Linked DNA regions of Saccharomyces cerevisiae S288C. The gene in region 2 interacts genetically with the main gene of each other region. Each region holds a gene or a part of one and is shown on either strand. Other genes may lie near its edges.

The links. Genes that interact genetically often act in the same process or in processes that back each other up.
Region 1: mutations in RCI37 (region 2) and TCP1 together harm fitness more than expected from each alone (negative genetic interaction), as found in Saccharomyces cerevisiae (2 studies listed by BioGRID).
Region 3: mutations in RCI37 (region 2) and SLZ1 together harm fitness more than expected from each alone (negative genetic interaction), as found in Saccharomyces cerevisiae (one large-scale study listed by BioGRID).

What each region holds. Positions count from the first base shown.
Region 1 is NC_001136.10:884,409-890,929, forward strand, and holds TCP1 (chaperonin-containing T-complex alpha subunit TCP1), read left to right. Parts: upstream 1-2,823; coding exon 2,824-4,503; downstream 4,504-6,521. Other genes in the region: GCD6 (translation initiation factor eIF2B catalytic subunit epsilon), read left to right, coding at 319-2,457; UPC2 (Upc2p), read left to right, coding at 5,343-6,521. UniProt on the Saccharomyces cerevisiae protein: Molecular chaperone; assists the folding of proteins upon ATP hydrolysis. Known to play a role, in vitro, in the folding of actin and tubulin. In yeast may play a role in mitotic spindle formation.
Region 2 is NC_001141.2:214,491-217,690, forward strand, and holds RCI37 (Rci37p), read right to left. Parts: upstream 1,464-3,200; coding exon 501-1,463; downstream 1-500. Other genes in the region: threonine--tRNA ligase THS1, read left to right, coding at 1-213; SEC28 (coatomer subunit epsilon), read left to right, coding at 2,168-3,058.
Region 3 is NC_001146.8:268,257-274,235, reverse strand, and holds SLZ1 (Slz1p), read left to right. Parts: upstream 1-3,064; coding exon 3,065-3,961; downstream 3,962-5,979. Other genes in the region: YNL194C (uncharacterized protein), read left to right, coding at 621-1,526; YNL195C (uncharacterized protein), read left to right, coding at 1,928-2,713; mRNA-binding protein WHI3, read left to right, coding at 4,643-5,979.

The sequences.
Region 1 (6,521 bases), on a different chromosome or scaffold from region 2:
TTTCCGAAGTTTCTGTGCCAAAGACCTTTCAAACAGGCCTTTAAAAGCAACGCGACCGTCGTGGGTTCAAACCCCACCTCGAGCACTTTCTCTTTTTTTTTCACACGCGTTTGCAACATGCCCGTATTACATGAGCTTATTTGACTTTAGATGGTTTTCAGTTCTTTTTTTTTTTTTTTTTTTTTTCAGTAGATTAATGCGAAGAGTTAAATCACCAATTCAAAGATGGCAGATGGACCACCTTGTGGGATAAGTATAAAAATAACTAAAAGTGGTCTTGTGTTAAAAATAGAATAGAAACCACTCATAAGGCAAAAGATGGCTGGAAAAAAGGGACAAAAGAAAAGTGGACTAGGCAACCATGGAAAGAACTCTGATATGGATGTTGAAGATCGTCTCCAGGCCGTTGTCTTGACAGACTCTTATGAAACTAGGTTTATGCCACTGACAGCTGTCAAGCCAAGGTGTTTGCTGCCACTGGCTAACGTACCTCTCATTGAATACACCTTAGAATTTTTGGCTAAGGCTGGCGTACATGAAGTTTTCTTAATTTGCTCTTCTCATGCCAACCAAATTAATGACTATATTGAGAATTCTAAGTGGAACTTGCCTTGGTCTCCATTTAAAATTACCACCATTATGTCTCCAGAAGCTAGATGTACGGGTGATGTTATGAGAGATCTAGATAATAGAGGTATCATTACTGGAGATTTTATTTTAGTCAGTGGTGATGTATTGACTAACATCGATTTCAGCAAAATGCTAGAATTTCACAAAAAAATGCATTTGCAAGATAAAGATCACATCTCGACAATGTGTTTGAGCAAAGCGAGTACCTATCCAAAAACAAGAACTATTGAGCCTGCCGCATTTGTCTTAGACAAATCCACCAGTAGGTGTATTTATTACCAAGATTTACCATTACCAAGCTCTAGAGAGAAGACTTCCATTCAGATTGACCCAGAATTGTTGGATAATGTCGATGAATTTGTCATAAGGAATGACCTCATCGATTGTAGAATTGACATTTGTACATCTCATGTACCTTTGATATTTCAAGAAAATTTTGACTACCAATCATTAAGGACAGACTTTGTTAAAGGTGTCATTTCAAGCGATATATTGGGAAAGCATATATATGCCTATTTGACGGACGAATATGCTGTAAGAGTTGAAAGTTGGCAAACTTACGACACCATTTCTCAAGACTTTTTAGGTAGATGGTGTTATCCCTTGGTCTTAGACTCTAACATACAGGACGATCAAACGTATTCTTATGAATCAAGACATATATACAAGGAAAAAGACGTTGTTTTGGCCCAATCCTGTAAAATTGGTAAGTGCACTGCAATTGGATCAGGAACAAAAATCGGAGAGGGTACGAAAATTGAGAATTCCGTGATTGGAAGGAACTGCCAAATCGGTGAAAATATTAGAATCAAGAACAGTTTCATTTGGGATGACTGTATCATCGGAAATAACAGTATAATTGACCATTCATTAATTGCCTCTAATGCCACGTTAGGGAGTAATGTACGCCTAAATGATGGCTGTATAATTGGTTTCAACGTTAAAATTGATGATAATATGGATTTAGATAGAAACACAAAAATATCTGCCAGTCCATTAAAAAATGCCGGCTCAAGAATGTATGATAATGAAAGCAATGAGCAGTTTGACCAAGACCTTGATGATCAGACACTAGCCGTTTCTATTGTTGGAGATAAGGGTGTTGGTTATATTTACGAAAGCGAGGTGTCTGACGATGAAGATAGTTCTACAGAAGCCTGCAAAGAAATAAACACTTTGAGTAACCAATTAGATGAGTTATACTTAAGTGACGATTCAATTTCTTCCGCCACTAAAAAGACAAAGAAAAGAAGAACGATGTCTGTCAATAGTATATACACGGATAGAGAAGAAATTGATTCTGAATTTGAGGACGAAGATTTTGAGAAAGAAGGTATTGCCACCGTGGAGCGTGCTATGGAAAACAATCATGATCTTGACACAGCATTATTAGAATTGAACACCTTGAGAATGAGTATGAACGTGACATATCATGAGGTGAGAATAGCAACAATAACTGCATTATTGAGAAGAGTTTACCACTTTATTGCAACTCAAACATTAGGTCCCAAGGACGCTGTGGTGAAGGTTTTTAATCAGTGGGGACTGTTGTTCAAGAGACAAGCCTTTGATGAAGAAGAGTATATTGATTTGATGAACATCATAATGGAAAAAATTGTAGAACAGAGTTTTGACAAACCGGATTTGATTCTATTTAGTGCATTGGTTTCTCTATACGATAATGACATAATTGAGGAGGATGTCATTTATAAATGGTGGGATAATGTTTCTACTGACCCTCGCTATGATGAAGTCAAGAAATTAACTGTAAAGTGGGTTGAGTGGTTACAGAATGCTGACGAAGAATCTTCCTCAGAAGAGGAATAAAAGTCCACGCAGTACCCTGCATAATCATGTATTACCATAAAAAGGCTTTAATATGAGAAAAAGGTGAGCGCTATATAGATTTAGTAATTTACATGTTACAGAAGCAAAAAGCAAATATATATATATTTTTTATCATATTAGTTTTTATCCTCAGTAGTACTACTGAAATAATAATCTCAGATTTTTTTTTTTCACTTGCCGAGGGACCTTGTCCTAAGTGGCAAAGAACTGAAAAAAAAAAAAATTGAAATGCGGTGGTATCACATGAAGAGTAAATAACTTAAGCAAAAGAGAGGCCACTGAGAGAGTACAAGAAAGGGACAATAACAATAGACAGAAGACTTTTATATTTGTAATAACTTAGCGATGTCCCAATTATTCAATAACTCGCGCTCAGATACCCTTTTCCTAGGAGGTGAAAAAATAAGTGGTGATGATATTCGTAATCAGAATGTTTTGGCTACTATGGCTGTGGCTAACGTCGTCAAGTCATCTTTAGGCCCCGTTGGACTGGACAAAATGCTTGTTGATGACATTGGTGATTTTACCGTCACCAACGATGGTGCCACTATTTTGTCTTTGTTAGATGTTCAACATCCAGCTGGAAAAATTTTAGTAGAATTGGCTCAACAACAGGACAGAGAAATTGGTGACGGTACTACTAGTGTTGTTATTATTGCTTCTGAGTTGTTGAAAAGAGCTAATGAATTAGTCAAAAATAAGATTCATCCAACTACCATCATAACTGGTTTCAGGGTTGCATTAAGAGAGGCTATTCGTTTTATAAATGAAGTTCTTTCCACAAGTGTTGACACTTTAGGGAAAGAGACGTTAATTAATATAGCCAAGACTAGTATGTCCTCTAAGATCATTGGTGCTGACTCTGATTTTTTCAGCAATATGGTTGTAGATGCTCTTTTGGCTGTTAAGACGCAAAATTCCAAAGGAGAAATCAAGTATCCCGTAAAGGCTGTCAATGTGTTGAAAGCTCATGGTAAATCTGCCACTGAATCACTGTTGGTGCCAGGTTATGCTTTGAATTGTACAGTTGCTTCTCAAGCAATGCCTAAACGTATCGCCGGTGGCAATGTGAAAATCGCATGTTTGGATTTGAACTTGCAGAAAGCTCGTATGGCAATGGGTGTTCAAATCAACATTGATGATCCGGAACAATTGGAGCAAATCCGTAAACGTGAAGCTGGTATTGTTTTGGAAAGAGTGAAGAAGATCATTGATGCTGGTGCTCAAGTTGTGTTAACCACCAAAGGTATTGATGATTTATGCTTAAAGGAGTTCGTTGAAGCTAAGATAATGGGTGTAAGACGCTGTAAGAAGGAAGATTTGAGAAGAATTGCACGCGCTACAGGCGCCACTTTGGTTAGTTCTATGTCTAACTTAGAAGGTGAGGAAACTTTCGAAAGCAGTTATTTAGGTCTTTGTGATGAAGTAGTTCAAGCCAAATTTTCTGATGATGAGTGTATCTTAATTAAGGGTACTTCTAAACATTCATCTTCTTCGATCATTTTAAGAGGTGCCAACGATTATTCTTTAGATGAGATGGAACGTTCTTTGCACGATTCTCTTTCTGTTGTCAAAAGAACGCTTGAAAGTGGAAATGTTGTCCCCGGTGGAGGTTGCGTTGAAGCCGCATTGAATATCTATTTGGACAATTTTGCCACCACAGTTGGTTCTCGTGAACAGTTAGCTATTGCTGAGTTTGCAGCTGCATTATTAATCATTCCAAAAACTTTAGCTGTTAACGCTGCCAAGGATTCTAGTGAATTAGTTGCAAAATTAAGGTCCTACCATGCCGCTAGTCAAATGGCCAAGCCAGAGGACGTTAAGAGGAGAAGCTACAGAAATTACGGCCTAGATTTGATTAGAGGTAAAATTGTGGACGAGATTCACGCTGGTGTTCTTGAGCCAACCATAAGCAAAGTCAAATCCTTGAAATCAGCATTGGAGGCTTGTGTAGCAATTCTAAGAATTGATACAATGATTACAGTGGATCCAGAACCACCCAAAGAAGATCCGCACGATCATTGATTCTTTGCGTAATCCGAACGAGATTCTGTATCTGCATGTAAACTAATAAACCTATATAAAATTTAATTATATTTTTTTCAGCTAGTTCTATTTTTGAATTTGATCGCTAACTCTGGGCAGTTGATAAGCGCTTCCCAGCTTTTCACGTGCGAGGTGGACTAATACGTAATAACGCGTACCTATTAGGACTTCGTTGAGTTGTTTTTCTTGTCCAAATGCAGAAGCGGGTCCCTACAAACTATTGTGTTTGTTCGTAAACGAGCAGGAACCCTGTTAAAGGAAAAAAGCTTAACGCTAGCGTTACATTTTAGTAAGGCGGCAATAAAAAAGAATGCGGAGTGTATTCCATGAATTCAATTGCGCTTACTGCTAAGCCTGTTTCTAAACATGATCCCCAGGGTGAATATCTCCCATAGTGGCTGTGTTATTCTGTCTAAATGTGGCAGCTAAATAAGGTTTTTTCCAAGCTATTTTTTTCTCTAAACGAGCGCACCTTAGCGGGATCGCGTCAAATTTTCGCCCAACGAATATTATTCTATTGTCTTCAGTGAATGTGCTTGTCGAAATCTATATATGCGCCGCCCTGGCAGGATCAGCAAATACAAGTTACTTGGAAAGTCGCGGCATAGAAAGTAGACACTTCTTTTGTCAAAGATTGATATTGCTTTCAGGGTGCGATAGTGCTGACTGTTCCTCTAAACAGCGATTTTTTACATACATTAACTTTTTGAAGTTGTAGGAACTATCTTTTCTCATTTATCCAACACTAAAACAAAATTGAGCTTTCCAGAAATAGTGAATCAAAAAAAGTTAAGTACAAATATTTACAGTTCAGCAGTATGAGCGAAGTCGGTATACAGAATCACAAGAAAGCGGTGACAAAACCCAGAAGAAGAGAAAAAGTCATCGAGCTAATTGAAGTGGACGGCAAAAAGGTGAGTACGACTTCAACCGGTAAACGTAAATTCCATAACAAATCAAAGAATGGGTGCGATAACTGTAAAAGAAGAAGAGTTAAGTGTGATGAAGGGAAGCCAGCCTGTAGGAAGTGCACAAATATGAAGTTGGAATGTCAGTATACACCAATCCATTTAAGGAAAGGTAGAGGAGCAACAGTAGTGAAGTATGTCACGAGAAAGGCAGACGGTAGCGTGGAGTCTGATTCATCGGTAGATTTACCTCCTACGATCAAGAAGGAGCAGACACCGTTCAATGATATCCAATCAGCGGTAAAAGCTTCAGGCTCATCCAATGATTCCTTTCCATCAAGCGCCTCTACAACTAAGAGTGAGAGCGAGGAAAAGTCATCGGCCCCTATAGAGGACAAAAACAATATGACTCCTCTAAGTATGGGCCTCCAGGGTACCATCAATAAGAAAGATATGATGAATAACTTTTTCTCTCAAAATGGCACTATTGGTTTTGGTTCTCCTGAAAGATTGAATTCAGGTATCGATGGCTTACTATTACCGCCATTGCCTTCTGGAAATATGGGTGCGTTCCAACTTCAGCAACAGCAGCAAGTGCAGCAGCAATCTCAACCACAGACCCAAGCGCAGCAAGCAAGTGGAACTCCAAACGAGAGATATGGTTCATTCGATCTTGCGGGTAGTCCTGCATTGCAATCCACGGGAATGAGCTTATCAAATAGTCTAAGCGGGATGTTACTATGTAACAGGATTCCTTCCGGCCAAAACTACACTCAACAACAATTACAATATCAATTACACCAGCAGCTGCAATTGCAACAGCATCAGCAAGTTCAGCTGCAGCAGTATCAACAATTACGTCAGGAACAACACCAACAAGTTCAGCAACAACAACAGGAACAACTCCAGCAATACCAACAACATTTTTTGCAACAGCAGCAACAAGTACTGCTTCAGCAAGAGCAACAACCTAACGATGAGGAAGGTGGCGTTCAGGAAGAAAACAGCAAAAAGGTAAAGGAAGGGCCTTTACAATCACAAACAAGCGAAACTACTTTAAACAGCGATGCTGCTACATTACAAGCTGAT
Region 2 (3,200 bases):
ACTCTGCAAAAGAAGGTCAGAAACGGGCAAATGCTAAAATATAACTTCATTTTTATTGTTGGTGAACAAGAAATGAATGAAAAATCTGTTAACATTAGAAACAGAGACGTTATGGAACAACAGGGTAAAAATGCTACTGTTTCTGTTGAAGAAGTTTTGAAACAGTTGCGTAACTTGAAAGATGAAAAGAGAGGTGACAACGTCTTAGCTTAATGAGATTTTATGTAGTTAAATTTTGACTTATTTAATTTATGTTTTGTAAAGAATAAAATGAGTATGATGAAGGAATCTTACCTCTATTAACTATTTCTTCTTTTTTTTTCCTTCGATAAGATGTGCGCGAATTCAATATGGAAGAAAGCAATTTGGTATGCAGATGGTGTTCACCGGCAGTGTTTAAGTTACGAATATATAAAAACAAATTCAGGAACCCGCCGAATTTGGCCCAAACATATACCTATATACAAATTAGTGACCATACGCTATTATTACTCCGTCGTCTAGGAGCGGTTCCCACCATATCTCCCGCTCTGCAGTAAACGCTGATATTTGTCATCAGAAGAGGAATTATCGGTAGCATTACCATCGTCAGAAAATCCTGAGATAAATATATCGGATTCATGATCCACTGAAGCATCTGATTCCTGCGACTGATCTCTACTGGTGTTCCTTATATTTTCCCATGATGAAGACGAACTGTTGTCGCCGTTCCTGATTTTTTCCCAGGAAGACAGAACAGGACTGTCGTTTTGCTCTCCTTCAATTGGGTCAGGAGATTTTCTACCCTTATTACGATACAATCCTATAGGATCCCTTTGGTTCATAAAGGGCGAGCCGTTAAAAACTCCGCCTTTTTTCATTTGCTGCAGTTTGACTTTCGGGTCTGGCAATCTTCTCTCCGGATTTTGGTACGTTATGTAAAAGTACATCGACCACCTTGAGGGGGAGCCTGAATCTAATAAGCGCATCATATTGTACTGCCTTTGATTTCTCGGAATTTCTTTTGTTTGATCATGTTGAAAGGCTCCAAAGTCGTTGTCACCATATTTGTTGGAATAGTTATCCTTCAAAACACCTGTGGGGTCACGTTCGTTCAACTGTCGTGTATACATGGACCTACCAGCAAAATTTGTAGCAAAAAATAAAGCCATTACACCCAAGACAAAATTCCTCGGCACCTTAACACCTTTAATAGCCTTGGTCTTGTAGTAACGATAGGCAAATGGAGTTAAAAATACAGCTGAAAACCCAAGCCAACCACCCCACATCTCAGCTTTAGCAATGGATCTATAGGCCTTCGATAACTCCAGCCTGTCTCTTGCATCCAGCAATTCGTCTTTTTCATGAAATTCAATAGCATTTTCATAAGCCTTTTTAAACCAAGGCCTCTTCATAAAGGGTAGTTCATTTTCCATTCCCTTACCATTCTGGCCATATTGCTGTTCTTCTTCTTTTCCCAACATCACCTTGTTCTACGCTTGAAATTAGGCTGCTCCTTAAAACGAAAATCATATTAAGCATTGACACATAAAAAGTTCTGTTCTGCGTCAAAGTAGCATTAGCTCATAAGGCTTTCACCCTTGCTTGACTTACACCCGCGGAAATAAAAACACAGAAAAAGAAGGAAATAATGTATAAACAAGTAACTATGAACGAAATTTCCTGTTACGGATTGTTACGCTAGCTATTAAAATTCGTCTCGTCAAAGATCGACTGTAGCAGCGTGCTGCTGATGTCAAAGAATTGGGAGCCACAAGCTGGTGAAATGGTATCTGTCTTAGTACTCACAACATTCTAGGCTGCAAAAGAGGTTATACCGGAACAATAGTTGCTAAAATGGAATTCAGGAGATGGCTCCAACGCAACGATCAGGACGCCCGCTGATCTCACTCTTTAGTGTCCACACTATATAGTAACATTACATTCAATTGGAACCGTAATGTTGTATAAAATCTTTTGTCTTGCTGTATAGGTGCGTATGCAGCGTCTTCAATGGGATAAAGATATTCTATTTTTAATTTTTAAGGTGATCTTAATTTTTTGTTGGTTCTTTTTCAGTTTTTTGTCAAGCGAAAAACTACAGTTTCTACAGAAAAACACGTCAAGCTACAGTATAAGAACGGATTGTGAAGAACTCGGTGGAGAACATAGAAACAGACAAAAAATCATGGATTACTTTAATATCAAGCAGAATTACTACACGGGGAACTTCGTGCAATGTTTGCAGGAAATAGAGAAGTTTAGCAAGGTCACAGATAACACCTTATTATTCTACAAGGCGAAAACCCTTTTAGCTCTAGGCCAATATCAATCACAAGATCCTACCTCTAAGCTTGGCAAGGTACTAGACTTGTACGTCCAGTTCTTAGATACAAAAAACATTGAAGAATTAGAAAATTTGTTAAAGGATAAACAGAATTCACCATATGAATTATATCTGTTAGCCACGGCTCAAGCTATCTTGGGTGACTTAGATAAAAGTTTGGAGACATGTGTAGAAGGGATTGACAATGACGAAGCAGAAGGGACTACAGAATTATTGCTGCTTGCCATCGAAGTCGCTTTGTTAAACAACAACGTTTCGACCGCGTCCACCATCTTTGATAACTACACTAATGCTATTGAGGATACTGTTTCCGGTGACAACGAAATGATTTTAAACCTGGCTGAATCGTACATTAAATTTGCCACAAACAAAGAAACGGCAACATCCAACTTTTACTACTATGAAGAGCTATCTCAAACCTTTCCTACTTGGAAAACTCAATTGGGATTGCTCAATTTGCATTTACAGCAAAGAAACATAGCTGAAGCTCAGGGTATTGTCGAGCTATTACTATCTGACTACTATAGCGTCGAACAAAAAGAAAACGCCGTATTGTACAAACCTACTTTCTTAGCAAACCAAATTACGCTTGCTCTTATGCAAGGTCTTGATACTGAAGATTTAACAAATCAATTGGTTAAATTGGATCACGAACATGCATTCATCAAGCATCACCAAGAAATTGACGCAAAATTCGATGAATTAGTGAGGAAATATGATACGTCCAACTGATTTACGTAATATCTCACATTAAACATGTAGGTTTTTTAGAAAAAGAAAAAAATATTTCATGTATATGCCTATATACTATTTTGATAAAGCCGAATAAGATGGTACCATAAATGAGGTTGACATGGCTTGAACAAAATCATAT
Region 3 (5,979 bases), on a different chromosome or scaffold from region 2:
AATCAAATTCAAAATTACGTATGCAACTACGAAAATTTGGCTCCCAACATAATCTTAAGGGCCTTCGTCATCACTAACTGGTCCAAAAGAATATCGCAGATGCCGAAACTATCACCTTTTCATACGTTGAATTTTTGAGAAAATTAATCACTTACAAAGACTCCTCGAAATTACGGCAAGGACACCCCCTGAAGTGCACAGCCGCACAGCCGCACAAGTCGGATTTGGGAAGACGACAAAGAGGGGACTTCTAGAACAAAATTGCTCCCCAGCGTCTTTTAAGGGAGGGGGTTGCAATGCAAAAGCACCCTGTATATCATCAAATCTTGCATTACTACCCGCAGTTTGTACTATTTACAAGGACGTAAAAGTGGGATGAACGGATGGAAAGATGAGATCACTATTCCCTGTTTTCTGTCTCCGCTGTTATCCCCTGCTTTCGATATAAAAACATTAGCTAAATACCCTAACAACTTATATTATGTTAGAGATCCTATCTGTAATTCTTATCCGAAATTAGCCACTTTTCTAGGGTTTTCAAACAACCATAAACAATTACTTGTATTGCGATCACGATAAGCATTAAGTATAACCTCATATATTTCCGTTTCTAATAATCAATGTCCTACAAAAAGTTTGTGTACTTTATTAACCTTTTCTTTCTACTAGGGGCTACATTGTTGACTTTTTTTCTGATACTAGCAGGTGGCAGGACCACAGGAGTGTTGAAGAATTTTTATTGGTTTCAGGCATCCACTTCGGGCTTTAACTCGGCGCCCTCCGTAACCAGATGGTACAATTATAACTGGTGCGGCTGGGAAAGCCGCGGAATAGCAGTCAACTGCTCTTCTAAGATGGCAGCTCAGCCGTTTTCACCAAGGGACAACTTTGGCAGTTCCCCCCTCATGCCCTCAACTTTTTTAAACAACAGAAATGCCTACTATTATCTTTCAAGAGTGGGCTGGGCAATGCTTCTAATCGGGCTTTTCTTTTTGTTAATCACGTTAGTTTCGGTTATTGCCAGTTTAATCAGATACAATAGACGTACCGCCGCTCTGGCAACTGCAATGAGCTGGATCACGCTTTTCTTCATAACCCTATCCGCTTGTCTGTACACAGGATGTTACGCTAAGGCAGTAAAGGCGTTTCACCATGAGAATCGTGATGCTAGACTAGGTCCCAAGAATTTTGGGCTTATTTGGACCACAGTATTTTTGTTAATTGTAAACGCCATTTGCTGTACTATCATGGTGGCTACTCATAAAAGAAACGAGTACATCTATGACCGCAGTTTCGCTTCTACCAAGACAGTGGACTCACAAACTCCAACTCCAGTTCCAACAAATGGAGGAATACCTTCCTCGGTGCCTGTAACTGAGGTCCAACAATCTCAATCCCACCAGAATCATAGGTTCTTTAAGAAATTGAGAACGAAAAAGAGAACTGTGACTAGCGCAGGCGATGAACCAGACCGGGTTCAAGAGGAACGCGTCTATACTGAACAGAATGTTCCTGTTGTATCATAGGGTGCAAAGGAGGCTTTTTTTTCCCTTATTATTAAAGCTAGGATTACAAATAATAACAAACCTAATTGCAGCGATTAGCCTTCTCCTATTCTCTGTTGATACCAATTTTATTTATTACTAATATTTTGCACCGATATTCCACTAATCTTTTATGTTTCCCTAAATATAATATCTTTAATTCTCAACCTCTAATAATACTAATACTATACGTCAAACAATGTAATGATACCATCTAATAAAAAGAAATCGTATTTTAACTTCCTTTTAATGTATCATACACATCTTACTAACTCTTTTTCTTTTCTTTTCACTATTTCGACAGCAATGAATTAGACACAAACCAAGAGTCTTCTGCTACACAGCACGGCTTCGGCTACCATATTGACAAATCTTATGACAGGATGCTGGGTTTGGGCCAATCTGCTCAAGCATATGCAAGTGATGATGCTCTCAATATGAACCAGGCAAAGGATAAAACGTACAGCGTTCCAGGGTGTGGCAGGGCAAGCGACCTCAAATATCCTCATCGTGACGGACACTCTTCGTCTCACGAACAGCGCTCTGGAATTTTACCAACTGAATGCCCAGGCCCTACTTTAAACACCGGTGCCGGTAGCATCGGTATCCCGGGATGTGGCAAAGTCACAAATAGAGTGGTCAGTGACTATAACAAAAACGCTAGGTCTACGCTAGCCAATTTTGATAGTAGTAAAATGACCGAGGCAAGAATGAACAGCAAGAACGTGCCGATTGGTTGTCAAGACACCTCTGATCCGCACTTCAATGGGCCTATCGACCAACATGTTCCCGGTGCAGGTTCACCTCAAAGTCAACCTCATCACATCGACGCGTGGAACAGCGTTTCTTCTCGCCGTGCCGATAATAACAACCAAGACATGATGGACCCCCAAACGGCTTCCTCAGACAGGTACAATGAGAAAATGATGAGAGAAGAAAATAGCGGCGTCTCTGCTTCTTCTTACACCACTAAAGTGCAGGGATATCCCGCAAGTATTCCATCATTCAATCAGGAAACTGAGGAAAAGGAAACCTACGCCTACGGTGTGGGTGATCGGCACAATGTCCCAAGAAACCAAATTATGGATGAGACTAATCCTTCGGCTAACGTTCTAAACGCTACTGATCATAGTATTTCGCACCCTGAGAATAAGGTCTTGCATAAGTAGTTTTTGTTTTTCCTACAGTTTTTATTTATAACCAACCTTATACTTTTATATCCTTGTCTACATATTATTGTCATAACGAATTTTTTATTGGTTAAATGCAGCTATTGCGTTCTCTTTATTGCATAAATATATTCTATTACAATATGGGAGGGCATTATCAGCCTCCATGTGCTTGCGTGCTGTCAAAGAAGGAGTGCGGGGATGACAATATGAATAGCCGCCGAAATTATGCCCGGCTGCAGTTGACCGTATAAATAACAGTGCTTCAATGAAAGGACACAAAAAGCAAGATCGTCCCATTTTCTACCTTAATCAGTATAGTAAAAATCAAAAACATAATATATTACTGTTATGATGAATAAAGTAGATCAAATCATCGGTTACAAAAAGTACGAAGTGAAACTACCAAAAGATCGACAAGTAAAGAAAAATAAATCAAAAGGTGGAAATGTTGATCAAATAGATACTAAGAGGGAAAAGGATAAAATGAGAGCTTTTGGTGAAGAAAGGAAAAAGTTCTTAGATAAAATGGCTAAAAACAAAAAAAAAAATACAAGTAGAAAAGATAGAGAGAAGCCAAAAGAAGTAGAAAAAGAAAACTACAAAAGAGAAGACAAAAGGCTAAAAGAACAGAAAAAATTATCACTGGCAAAAGAATTTCGTTTCAAAGAACCGAATTCAGAAGCCATTAATCAGAACACAGCAGCTGAAAATGGTAAACCTAAACCACAGACTGGACTAGATTTTGACATAGACCATCAAACCGTGTCCAAGATCATGATAGATCAGGCTATTCAAACATCTAGTCCTCTTAATGTCCAACTCACGGAACTTTTCAATGATAACGTCCTCGACGTCTCGAAAGATAGTCAGTTTGTCCTTCAAGACATGGAGTTCACCTCCTGGGAACGACGCTGGTCAAACTGCAGCACGACCAGTAATGCGACTACGGTCTCATCAGTTCCTGATCCCAAATATAATATCAACTACAACGACATAACCTCCTTCAATTCAGTAGCGCTAATTACCGAAGATCTTAACATATCTGCATCATCTAATGGTCTGCATGAGAGAGGTAAAAAGCTACTGCAGCAAGAGATGGAATACTCAAACAAGGTCAAAAATGTCACCATCGGGCTTGAAAGATTGTGTATGGATGAAAAACCAGTCCCAGATGCAGGAATAACCATGCAACAAGCGTCGCGCTGGTCAGAATTCCCCACTTGTTGCGATCAAGCTGCTATTTAGCTTTTCTAATTTAAAAAATTTATAAACTTCTTATAGTATTTCATCTTTATATCAAATACTATTAGCAAAATAAAAGGAAAGGAAAGGGAAAGGAACTTCTTTAGACTGCTTCGCACTGATTCTATCGCCATCCTTCTTCATGTTCTCAACTATTGGATATCTGCTCTATTTAGAACAATCGTTATTGTTACCCGCGTTAAATGGGGTAACTGATTGCTGCTTTTTTTTCTCGTTGTTTTGGACCTTTTCGGACATGAGAGGTCAAAAGAAAAAACAAACACGACCAAGTAAGCCGGAATAAACAAGTATAACCACCTGATTGAATTGCCTTCTTTAAACAAGCACAGACCTCCAAAAAGAAAAGGCTTTTGAAACGCTGCTCACGCACAGTTGTTTATTCCGTCCACATATTTTACGTGTCAGTTTCCTTTCTGTCTTCTCTTTATTCAATCAATTAGCATTAAAGAGAAAATAAGTCGTGTACTTTGAAAACCTTCTGTTCCTGTTTTCTTCCCGTATTTTTCATTTGCTTCACCAGCTTTTTCTCAACTGATCATATCATTTCAAGTTAAAAGTCTTTGTCATCACTTTTCTGTGAGTTGCAAATATTTGTAAGCGTCACTTACCTAGAGCAGCCTTTATCGATCAATATTTCAGAGGGAAAAACCTGTATCTCTTAGCATGCAAAGTTCAGTTTATTTTGACCAAACAGGGTCATTTGCGTCCAGTAGCGACAACGTTGTGTCTAGTACCACCAACACACACAACATTTCTCCCAGTCATCGTTCCAGTTTGAATCTGAACACTACTTCTCATCCCCACGAAGCGTCGGGTAGAGGAAGCGCAAGTGGGGAGTTGTATTTGAATGACACAAACTCACCCTTAGCGATATCTTCTATGCTAAACACACTTGCCCTTGGAAGTATGCCCCAAGACATTGCAAGCAGCAACATTAGCAATCACGATAACAACATTAAGGGGAGCTACAGCCTAAAATTGTCAAATGTAGCCAAGGATATTACTCTCAGAGAATGCTATGCAATCTTCGCTCTTGCTGAAGGTGTGAAAAGTATAGAATTACAGAAAAAAAACTCTTCATCAAGCATCACTTCTGCCTCATTAGAAGACGAGAATGATATTTTTATCATTGCCAGATTTGAGTTATTGAATCTAGCTATTAATTATGCCGTTATTTTGAATTCGAAAAATGAACTCTTTGGACCCAGTTTTCCCAATAAAACAACCGTTGAAATAATAGATGACACAACAAAAAACTTGGTTTCATTCCCATCATCTGCCATTTTCAATGACACCTCAAGATTGAATAAATCGAACTCGGGAATGAAAAGGCCAAGTCTGTTATCACAAAGATCCAGGTTTTCATTCAGCGATCCATTTTCCAATGATTCTCCTTTAAGCCAACAGCAATCTCAACAGCAGCAGCAACAGCCACAACAGCCACAACAACACTCTACGCAAAAACATTCACCACAACAATGTAATCAACAACAAGTGAATTCTTCAATACCGTTATCTTCTCAAGGCCAGGTTATTGGGTTACATTCTAACCATTCACATCAAGATTTGTCTGTGGAATCAACAATTCAAACATCTGATATTGGCAAATCTTTCCTTTTGAGAGATAACACTGAAATTAATGAAAAGATATGGGGCACAAGCGGTATACCTTCCAGCATCAACGGTTACATGAGCACTCCCCAACCTTCTACGCCAACTTTAGAATGGGGAAATACTTCTGCATCCCAACATGGTTCTTCGTTCTTTTTACCCTCTGCAGCATCGACAGCCATTGCACCTACGAATAGCAACACCAGTGCCAATGCAAACGCCAGCTCCAACAATGGAGCCAGCAATAATGGTGCTAACCAGGCACTCTCTGCCAGCTCGCAACAACCAATGATGCAAATTGGTAACACGATTAACACTTCCCTAACCTCTTCAAATTCATTGCCTCCATACGGTTTAATGTCTTCTCAATCGCAGCACATTTCAAATAT